Linked DNA regions of Arabidopsis thaliana. The protein of the gene in region 2 interacts with the protein of the main gene of each other region in a pairwise test. Each region holds a gene or a part of one and is shown on either strand. Other genes may lie near its edges. The genes, in order: AT4G35160 and AT4G27350.

What was found.
Region 1: the proteins of AT4G27350 (region 2) and AT4G35160 interact in a two-hybrid assay, tested with the Arabidopsis thaliana proteins (one large-scale study listed by BioGRID).

Annotation. Positions count from the first base shown.
Region 1 is NC_003075.7:16,729,984-16,734,826, reverse strand, and holds AT4G35160 (O-methyltransferase family protein), read left to right. Parts: upstream 1-1,903; 5' UTR 1,904-2,018; coding exon 2,019-2,843; intron 2,844-3,514; coding exon 3,515-3,838; 3' UTR 3,839-4,124; downstream 4,125-4,843. UniProt on the Arabidopsis thaliana protein: Methyltransferase which catalyzes the transfer of a methyl group onto N-acetylserotonin, producing melatonin (N-acetyl-5-methoxytryptamine). Does not seem to possess caffeate O-methyltransferase activity.
Region 2 is NC_003075.7:13,689,899-13,694,881, reverse strand, and holds AT4G27350 (membrane lipoprotein lipid attachment site-like protein, putative (DUF1223)), read left to right. Parts: upstream 1-2,049; 5' UTR 2,050-2,260; coding exon 2,261-2,737; intron 2,738-3,543; coding exon 3,544-3,903; 3' UTR 3,904-4,237; downstream 4,238-4,983. Other genes in the region: VIIIB (P-loop containing nucleoside triphosphate hydrolases superfamily protein), read left to right, coding at 1-1; AT4G27360 (Dynein light chain type 1 family protein), read right to left, coding at 365-538, 713-850; AT4G27340 (Met-10+ like family protein), read left to right, coding at 4,512-4,983.

The DNA.
Region 1 (4,843 bases), 3.0 Mb from region 2:
TGGTCCCTGCACAAAATGGCTCAGACAAAATATTGTACTGGTGTTTTTGGAAATATTTCCCACCGAGAATAGATGTCACACCAGAACTTTCAACTTTTGTGTGCGTAACTCTTTGCAAAGTTTTTCGAAAAATCCAACCTTGTTTTTAACATGTTTAAAATAGGACCTCAGATCAAGGTCAAGTGATCAGATGTGTAGGTTATGTGTGTTTATGCCGTCCATGCTCTGATTCAACATTTTTTGTGTTTACATATATCAAAGAGGCCATCCCAATAAGCAACCTCTTTTACTTTTCATGTTTAGAGGAATTTATTGACTACGTATTATTTCATTGATTTGGTCATTTGGAAAATCCTTGAAAGTTTTCGATTTTTATTAAAAAAATGAATATTACAAAGCTAAAAAAATGGAATTAAAATGATATATGTAAATTTTAACTATTATTTAGAAATGCGTTCGAAATAACAATTTTCACCCTCATATTTGAACTTTTGTTTTTCCAACTTGACACATATCTGTTAAAACTCACAAACTGATAAACCTCCTTGAATTTTTTTAATTTTTTTTCTAACTATTGCCTATGTTTTCTGTTTTACTATTGACGTCAACTATAATCTTGTATCTTGTATCTTACTGCCTTTTTTTTGTTATTACCATATAAAATGTGAGAAAAGAGACACTGTAAAAAGTAATAGTACACGAGATTAGCGACACTCACGGAGTGTAATCTTTATTTTAAAAAATCTTTGACGTCCACAGAACACACGAGATTAACGCAATTTCATTACTTCCATTTTTAAAGCTTTCTATTAATATATTGAAAGAAATCCTCTCTTACAAAGCGTCGTGAATGAAATCGCAAGTTTTTTAATTACATTAATGCATGATATATCATATAGTATAATCTAATCATCCTTTCGTAATCAGTGTGACTTCACTTAACTAGCGTACATGCCTATCTATAGTGACAGTAAACACGGTTAAAAAATTTGTTGTCTTATTAACAACCCCACACTAGCTAGTTGTGGATCTGTAATTTTCTGGCTTGGCAAAATTACATTAAACATTATTTTGGCACTACCATTAATATATCGAAGGAAACCAAGACACGCACAGGCTCCATAATCAAAAATTATAAAACTATATACAAATTAATGATGATACTACACCAAAGTATATATTCGAAGCAAGGCTAGCTAATTGAACTGAAAACATAGTCAGTGTAGTTTATCAACTTTCAATAAAAACATCATCCATGATGTACATGTGTACGTGTATACTAGAAGTCATTCTGCATGATGATTTTTTTTAATATACAAATGACACATGTCCGAGACATTTGACAGCTACGTTGATATGTATTCGTTTGGTTGACAGAGCTTGAGAATGCATTTTTTTATAAGGGAAGATTTAAGTCTATATTCGGTAGAATTTAACTCATAGACATTACTCCTAAGTTTTTGTTTTTATTTTTGAAAAAGCATTACTCCTAAGTTTCATGTAATATACAAGACGGAATGATGGATCAAAGTTGGTTGGCCAAAAACACCGAAGCAAGCTTGTCGATGCCTTTTGTCTCGACTAGTATTATTGTTACTAGCTTGAGACTAAATCTGATTGGAGTCCACACAAAATAAATCAATATTATTTATTAATGGATCTGTTTTGGAAATCCAAAGACAAATAATTCATATGTATATATATATATCTATAGTAGTATTCGGCGGTCGACAGTCGTAAACCTTCACAAAAAAATAAAAATAAAAGACAGTAAACTAACAAAATACCAGGTGGTCTGAACTCTATCTTATGAAAAAAAATATTGAATCGAATTCTTAAATGTCATATATATTGATGTCGGAACAATATTTTTTTATTGAAACACTAAATTCATTGAACATGTTGGGTTCAGTCCGGTTCAGAAATTTACTACTGTGTCTTTATAAAACCAAATTACTATTGTGCCCCCATTTTCCGATCGCTATAAAAAAAACCTAATTCCTCAACTCTAATTCACCATGTCTTCAGATCAACTAAGCAAATTCCTTGATAGAAACAAAATGGAAGACAATAAAAGAAAAGTATTAGATGAAGAAGCGAAAGCTTCTCTAGACATATGGAAGTATGTCTTTGGGTTTGCAGATATAGCAGCTGCAAAGTGTGCCATTGATCTTAAAATACCAGAAGCCATTGAAAACCATCCTTCTTCACAGCCCGTAACACTAGCCGAACTCTCCTCCGCCGTCTCCGCCTCTCCCTCGCATCTCCGCCGTATAATGAGGTTTCTTGTACACCAAGGAATCTTTAAAGAAATCCCCACAAAAGATGGTTTAGCTACAGGCTACGTTAATACGCCACTCTCTCGCCGTTTGATGATCACAAGACGTGATGGAAAATCGCTGGCTCCTTTTGTTCTCTTCGAAACAACTCCCGAGATGCTCGCTCCATGGTTGAGACTTAGCTCAGTCGTTTCTTCGCCGGTCAACGGTTCAACTCCACCACCGTTTGATGCAGTGCACGGTAAGGACGTGTGGTCGTTCGCGCAGGATAATCCCTTCCTCAGCGATATGATCAATGAGGCCATGGCTTGTGATGCAAGGCGCGTGGTGCCACGTGTAGCCGGAGCTTGTCACGGCTTGTTTGATGGCGTGACTACGATGGTTGACGTAGGAGGTGGTACGGGAGAGACGATGGGGATGCTTGTGAAGGAGTTTCCTTGGATCAAAGGATTTAACTTTGATCTTCCTCATGTCATTGAAGTTGCTGAAGTCTTGGACGGTGTTGAGAATGTTGAGGGCGATATGTTTGATTCTATTCCGGCTTGCGACGCCATTTTCATCAAGGTTAAATTCATTTCCATACTCTTATTTTCTTTTGATTAATAATAATATTCACTATGATTACTTTTTTTCTTCTTCTTACAACTTCCATTTAGTGTTCAAAACAAATTTTACATAAATGAAAAGATTAAAAAAATATCACTAAAAATCTAGTTTTATTCTTTCTTACAACTTTAATTCGTGTTCAAAATCAAATTTCACATAAAAGACAAGAAAAAAATGAATTAATGTTATAAACTAACTTTTTTTTCTTAATTCTAATTAAGTTGATTTGTTGCCGTAAAAACATTTTTGTTTTTGTCAATAATTGTCGAGCTTAATTACTGTTTCTAAAATCCGACTTTTTAAAAATTTTGTACAGACAAAAGGAATTGAAAATATTTGGATGTTGACTTCAGTATTTATTTTCTACCCTCTTCCATTAAAACATTAAACATGAATAGTTTAGATATGACATATTAAAGTAGCGAGCGAATCAACTGAGAGCAAGTTAACAATCACTATCAAGTATCAAATAAATAAAGCAACCACTACTAATTTCCCCAGATATTATTAACCAATACAGTACACATAAGAGAGATCTTTAATATATTAAAAACAAGGAAAATTGAACAGAATCTCACTTTAAGGATTTGTTTTGCTAATACAAAAAATGTAAAAAATGAATGGCGCAGTGGGTGTTACACGATTGGGGAGACAAAGATTGCATAAAGATATTGAAGAATTGCAAAGAAGCGGTCCCTCCAAATATCGGAAAAGTGTTGATAGTGGAATCGGTGATCGGAGAGAATAAAAAGACGATGATAGTGGACGAACGAGATGAAAAGTTAGAGCACGTGAGATTGATGCTTGATATGGTGATGATGGCTCACACAAGCACAGGCAAAGAACGGACTTTGAAAGAATGGGACTTTGTTCTTAAAGAAGCTGGCTTTGCTCGATATGAGGTTAGGGACATTGATGATGTTCAGAGTCTTATAATCGCGTATCGGTCTTAAGAGGAGGACATGAAAGATATATCTTTCCTTTGAGGAAAACTCAATAAATTAGTGATTGTTGATTTGGTGTTTTTATACAGAACGACGTGTGGGTGAATAATTGTGTTGTGTGATAATAAGTAAGGCTTGTTTCAGTATCAGCAGAGTTGTTTTTTATTTGTATTTTTCACATTTTTTTATCATTAATTTCCTTGTGAGTGGCACCTCTAATTTACTTTTTTAATTGTTATAGGCTATATAAGATAGATAACCTTATACAATGTCAAATCTTACAATTACATTATGAACATGAAAACAAATTAAAAATAAACTTGCTAAGTTTTCAAAATTATGTAAATTTGCTTGTAAAATCTTGATTTAGTGGAAAGGTATAATCATTGATATAAAAAGAAACTATAAATATCAAGAAATATTCTTAAAGTCTTAAATGCTTCAATCATACTTTCAAACATAAACAAGTGGTCCAACGAATAGACCCAAATATTACGTGGTTACGATGAGAGTGGCAGTGGGGTTTATACGATTGGGGAGATAAAGACTTGATAAAAACATGCTAAGCCATGTTTATTTGATCATTTGACATTTACATCCAAATGATCTATTTGAATGATTCATGTGAATGATTCATGTGAATGATGTTTGTTTGATCATTTGGTATTTTATCTAAATAATGTATTTAAATGAATATTTCTTTGCTTGATTATTTTTTAATTTATCTACATTCTCATTCTAATAAAAATGACTAAAAATACCCATGTTATAATTTTAACAAATGACAAATATTTAACATCATTACCAAATATATCATTTTTAATCTTTAATTTTAGTTATATTAATTTAATTATTGCTGTAAAATACATTTACAACGAAATAAATTATTATTTTAACATAAAAAATATGATTTGCGGTTGGTGGAAAATATACTTTGTAGTTTTGGCAGAAAAATATGATTTTACGGGTTTGGCGGGAAAAATATGATTTTACGGTTTTGGCAGGAAAAATATT
Region 2 (4,983 bases):
AAACTTAGATCTTGTTCACATGTACCGAATACTAATATTAGGTTTTAGGATGTTTAACGATGTAAATTCCATATTAATCAAACTAACTGAGAGCTAACCGGCTGGTAAGGCAGAAGCTAAATAAAATTGATCTATAACCACATGATTTCTACACACAATACAGCTCTAATGAAAACATAAGATAAAGTTTTTGACCTCTAGACGTTTTTGTCTATGTAATTTGAGAAAGCAGTGTTTTCTTGTTATTGAAGACATCCATAACGACGAATCATGATTGATATTACAGTGAAAGAACTTGAATACTCTTTAACTTTAACACTACATCAATCGAAAAGGACTTGATTATTTTACAATACTGTCTAAATTAGCTAGAGCATCGGTCCGGGGGGGCCGGTTCACCGACTGATCCCTTAAAAAGCAAAATGGTAAGGCTGCCAACTGAGAAATGGATGAAGCAGCCACTGCAATGAGTCACGAAAGATCCGAAATGCGTCCCCACGATGCACTGCCACCCCGATCCGTAACTTCTATCAAATTCCTGAAAAAATCAAAAAGATTTGAATTTCATTGACATGAAACTCTAGTTATGGAGTTTGTATAACATTCATAATCATATTTCATTTCAGTATACATATGTACAGTGTATAGGTAGAAAATACATGTCTAGTCAGGATTAATACACATTAAAACTTGCAATATATGATTAGTGAACCTTCTTGATGAAACGGGCAATTTGAGTAGGTTCGGTGACATCAAAGCAATCAAGGGCTTTGGAGGCCAAACTAAGAGCATCTTCCTTCATTGTTTGCTTCATATCTGTATCACCCATTACTGCTTTCCCTTCTAACATCCTTTTTAAAAAAATTGAATATGATTATTTAACTCTAAAGAAATATCTAAGAGAACCAAGTTAGTTTATGCAAGTATATATTGTATGTTAATATTTCTATATATACTGAAAAATGATGGGATGATGTGTGTGTGAGAGTGAAGCTCCAAGATAGTGGTGGAGATTATGTTGGAACTTACATGAAGCGTCTTTTTTTTTACTTGTCGTAGTTTTATCAGCCACATGGATTTGCATGGACCGTTCCATATGTGGTCAAAACCAAATCATTCAATCGATTTCAAATATGAAGTACATATACACATCTATATTCATTTATATGATCATAAAGTGGTTGTTTGCCATCATTTTAAGAAAATTACCGTAAGCTTGGGCTGTTGTGCGGCATGTTGTAAAAGGAAAACACAATGTGAGTGGATACGATTGAACAAGCCATAGAAAAAGTGCAAGCAAGATTACAAGAGCAAAAACGAGTGAAGGGAAGAAGAAGGGACAAAAACATATGTGGTTCTCCTTTATTTCAAAATGAATTTCAGCAATGAAAAGAAAATGGACGTCAAATTTTATTTAACCTTCAGAAACTATACTTAGAAAGTTAGATTATTGTTTTATTTTTGAAGTTAAAAGTTTTTTTTAGAACTATAGAACTTTGTGGGTATATTTTGTTTTATTTACAATGTCATGTATGACTAGTTGAAGCTCTTAACATGTATTTTTTTTTACATCTTTACTAAATGTCTCTTAAGCTAATCTTTTCTTTCCATATTAATTCCCACTAGCAAAGTTGTTTTTTCTTTTTAATCTCAAATTTGTTAAACTAACAAATGTATATATATATTCCTTTTTTAATTGTTTTCTTTTTGTCAAAGTGTTTTCTCAATTAAAAAATATACAAAGAAGCAATATAACATTTTTTTTTAATTGTTGAGGTTGGCAAGTAAATCTTTCTTTCTTTTTTGCCAGGACGAGAAAGATTTGTTTTTTTAATTCTCTCTTTAAACGAAAACAAAAATAAACTCGTTGGCCAGCTCAAACAAAACTATTCGCCTGTCTTTCCCGACGTGTCACCGACCCGTATAACAAGGATAATAAAAGCTCCAATTTAATTTTTTATTTCTACAGCTTTTTCCACCAATACGATAATTTTCCATTTTTATAAAAAAAAACTTTATTTGAGAATTTTCCTTATTAAAAAAAGAAGTACAGTATAAAGGTAAAGACACTTTGCCGCGTTTCTCTCGGTGCCGCTCGACGTGTTAATCTTCTTCCTCCTGAAGATCTCTCTCTGAAAGACATTCTCAAATTTTCTCGGGAAAACACCTTTTTCTGATTCGTTTTTCTCCAGATCATTCCTTCTTTCTTATATCCGATTTCTTCGGGAGGAGGCGAAGAGACGGTCAACAATTTTATCCAATGTCGCGCCGTCTTTTCGCCTGTTTCGGCCTCAAGAAATCTTCAACTAAACCTATCTCTGGTGGTAACAATTCCGCCGCCGTAGCCGCAGAAATTCCCGCCGGAGATGGTCCCGTTCTCGTCCAGCTATTCTCGTCTCAGGGATGTAAAACATCGCCCGCGGCGGAGATGTTGATGTCCCGGCTAGGTCGAGGTGATTTCGACGCTCAGATCCGTGGCGAAGATGGTGGATCTGGATCTCCGACGATGGTTTTGGTGTTTCATGTGGATTATTGGGATTACAAGGGGTGGAAAGATCCGTATGGATCGAGCCAATGGACGGTGAGGCAGAAGGCGTATATAGAGGCGTTGAATCTGGATACGATGTTTACTCCGCAGCTTGTGATCCAAGGTCGTTCTCAATTGATCGGAAACGAAGAGGAGACGCTGCTCAAATCTATCTCCGAAGCGCCTAGGTTTCCTTCTCCAGCCTTCCGGGTGAGTTTTCGTAACATTGTAAACTATTCGATTGTTGTGGTGATTGTGATGATCTTGATGTGAAGGAATTAGATTTAATGGTAGATTTCAGCTCTTGTTTATGTGATTTCAATGTAAGTGTCTTGTTTTGTTTGAGTGTCTTCTGGTGCTAAATATATAGGAGAATATTATAGGATTCCAAGTGAAGCTTGTATCTGATTCTTGCGCCTTGCCTGCAGATTCAAGAGCATGTTCTTGTATCTGACTCTGTGTTAGGAAAATGTGTCCTATGGTTTGCAGTGTCGCTTGTCCTTGAGTCTTGTGAATGTTTAATATAGTAAATCAAAGAGTTCTCTTTAGGTACAGGGCTGTATCCAGGTCGCTGATGCTCTTTCTCTGTATCAAAATGATCATTAGACATTTAGGAGTAATATTGCTTTTAGAGGGATTTTGTCTCTGCTAAAAAAGTGGTCAATGTGGTTGCTTTCTAGATAGTTATAGGTATATATGACAGGGAATGTAGTTTTATGAATGCAGCAAGCTTCTATTGCATTAGAATTAGCTACTTTTGGTGAATTGACTAAACAACATCTGTGATAAATTTTTGTTCGACGACATGTTCTTGTTGATTGTGTCATAGGATTAGCTACCTAACTAAACTTTACTTCAACCATGAATTTTCTCTGCTCTTGAACTCAATGAGTTCTTGACTAAACAGAACAATGTGGCTCACTCTTCTTCATTGGCTTTGTCACTCTCCACATAAGTGGTGTTTTTTGTCGAAATTTTCACATGTAATATTAATCATTTGTTTCTCTCTTTACCAGGCGACTTTCCAGAGACCAACCTCAGAGACACTGCAAGTATCACTCACCGGAGCTTTGAGAATGAAAGTAGACGGAGACGGAATGGACATAATGGTGGCAATATACGAAACCGGGCTTGTGAACGACTGTGCAAGAGGAGAGAACGAAGGAAGAATGTTGTCGAATGATTACGTTGTAAGAAAGATGGAAAAGATGTGCACTGTGAAAGATGTAGCACCGAAGAAGCCAGTCTCGGGGACTGCTCATTTTACGCTCTGGGATGGATTCAACAGCAGCAAATGTGGAGTCGCCGTCTTTCTTCAGAACTCTTCTCTTCAGATTTTTGGTACACAGAGTTTTAAATTACCTGATGAGATTTGAGTTAATTTCCCTAATATCTGAAAAATAAAGAAAAGAAAACCGATCTTTGTATCGTCCATATTTTGCTTGTGATAATCATTCGGGTTCCACTCTGCTTTTGTACAGTTATAAATGTGTGACTACTTATAACTTAATAGGGTTTAAGGTTTCTTCTAATTTGTTTTTATTTCAACTCATATTATCCTAACCTTTCTCTTCTCATGCTACTTCATTTGATTTCTTTTTAAGTTAAACCCTTTTTTAGTTAATCAGTATGTCAAAGTTCCATTCCACGAATCTTGGTCCTGATAAATGTTGGGATGCATGAAACAGTCTAGTTGTTTATAAAACCCTAAACCCTTTTTATTGTTTTTTTTGTAAACAGTCTAGTTGGGATGTCAATGTGACATCGTTTTGACGCTTAGTTATTGAAACGACGTCGTTTAAAATTTTAGGATAATTTATTTTTGAAAATAAATCTGAAAGCAGAGTGATATGTTCGTTCTTATTGCCGATGAAATCTCTAATATGCTCCCTGAGTAATACCTTTGATGCACAAACGCGGGAAATGACCTTCATTGTCCCAACACCAAAACCCAAATCCATCAGGAAGCTGAGTGAATCAGAAAATGGTGTCAAAGCTTTCTCTTTTCCGAGCCAATTCACTTCCTTTTCCAGTCATCTCTTCCTACTCTGCTCGTTTTATCCTTAAACCCTATCCCAAACCTAAAACCCTTATCTTCTGTGTCTTCTCCAGTAATCTCTCCTCCACCACCTTTCCGTATGGCCCGTCTCTTCTGAAAGGAAAGAAGCCTGTGCTAGATGATATTAGATTAGCTTCAATTGGTCGAGACAGAGATGCCCATCGAGGCAAAATTGGAGAGTTTGATGAATCAATTGAGAAAGATGTTCTTTTGAATGAAGATGAATTTACTAGGGTTTTTGAGATTTCGGCGATTCGAGTCCCGGCGAAGGATTGTTTCGCGCTCGAGAATCGTCTCCGTGGTCATCTTCTTAATTGGCCTAGGATTCGGAACATTGCTAGGGTTCCTGGAGATGAGATTGAAGAAGATGTGGTGAAGCTGTTGGGCCGTGAGACTG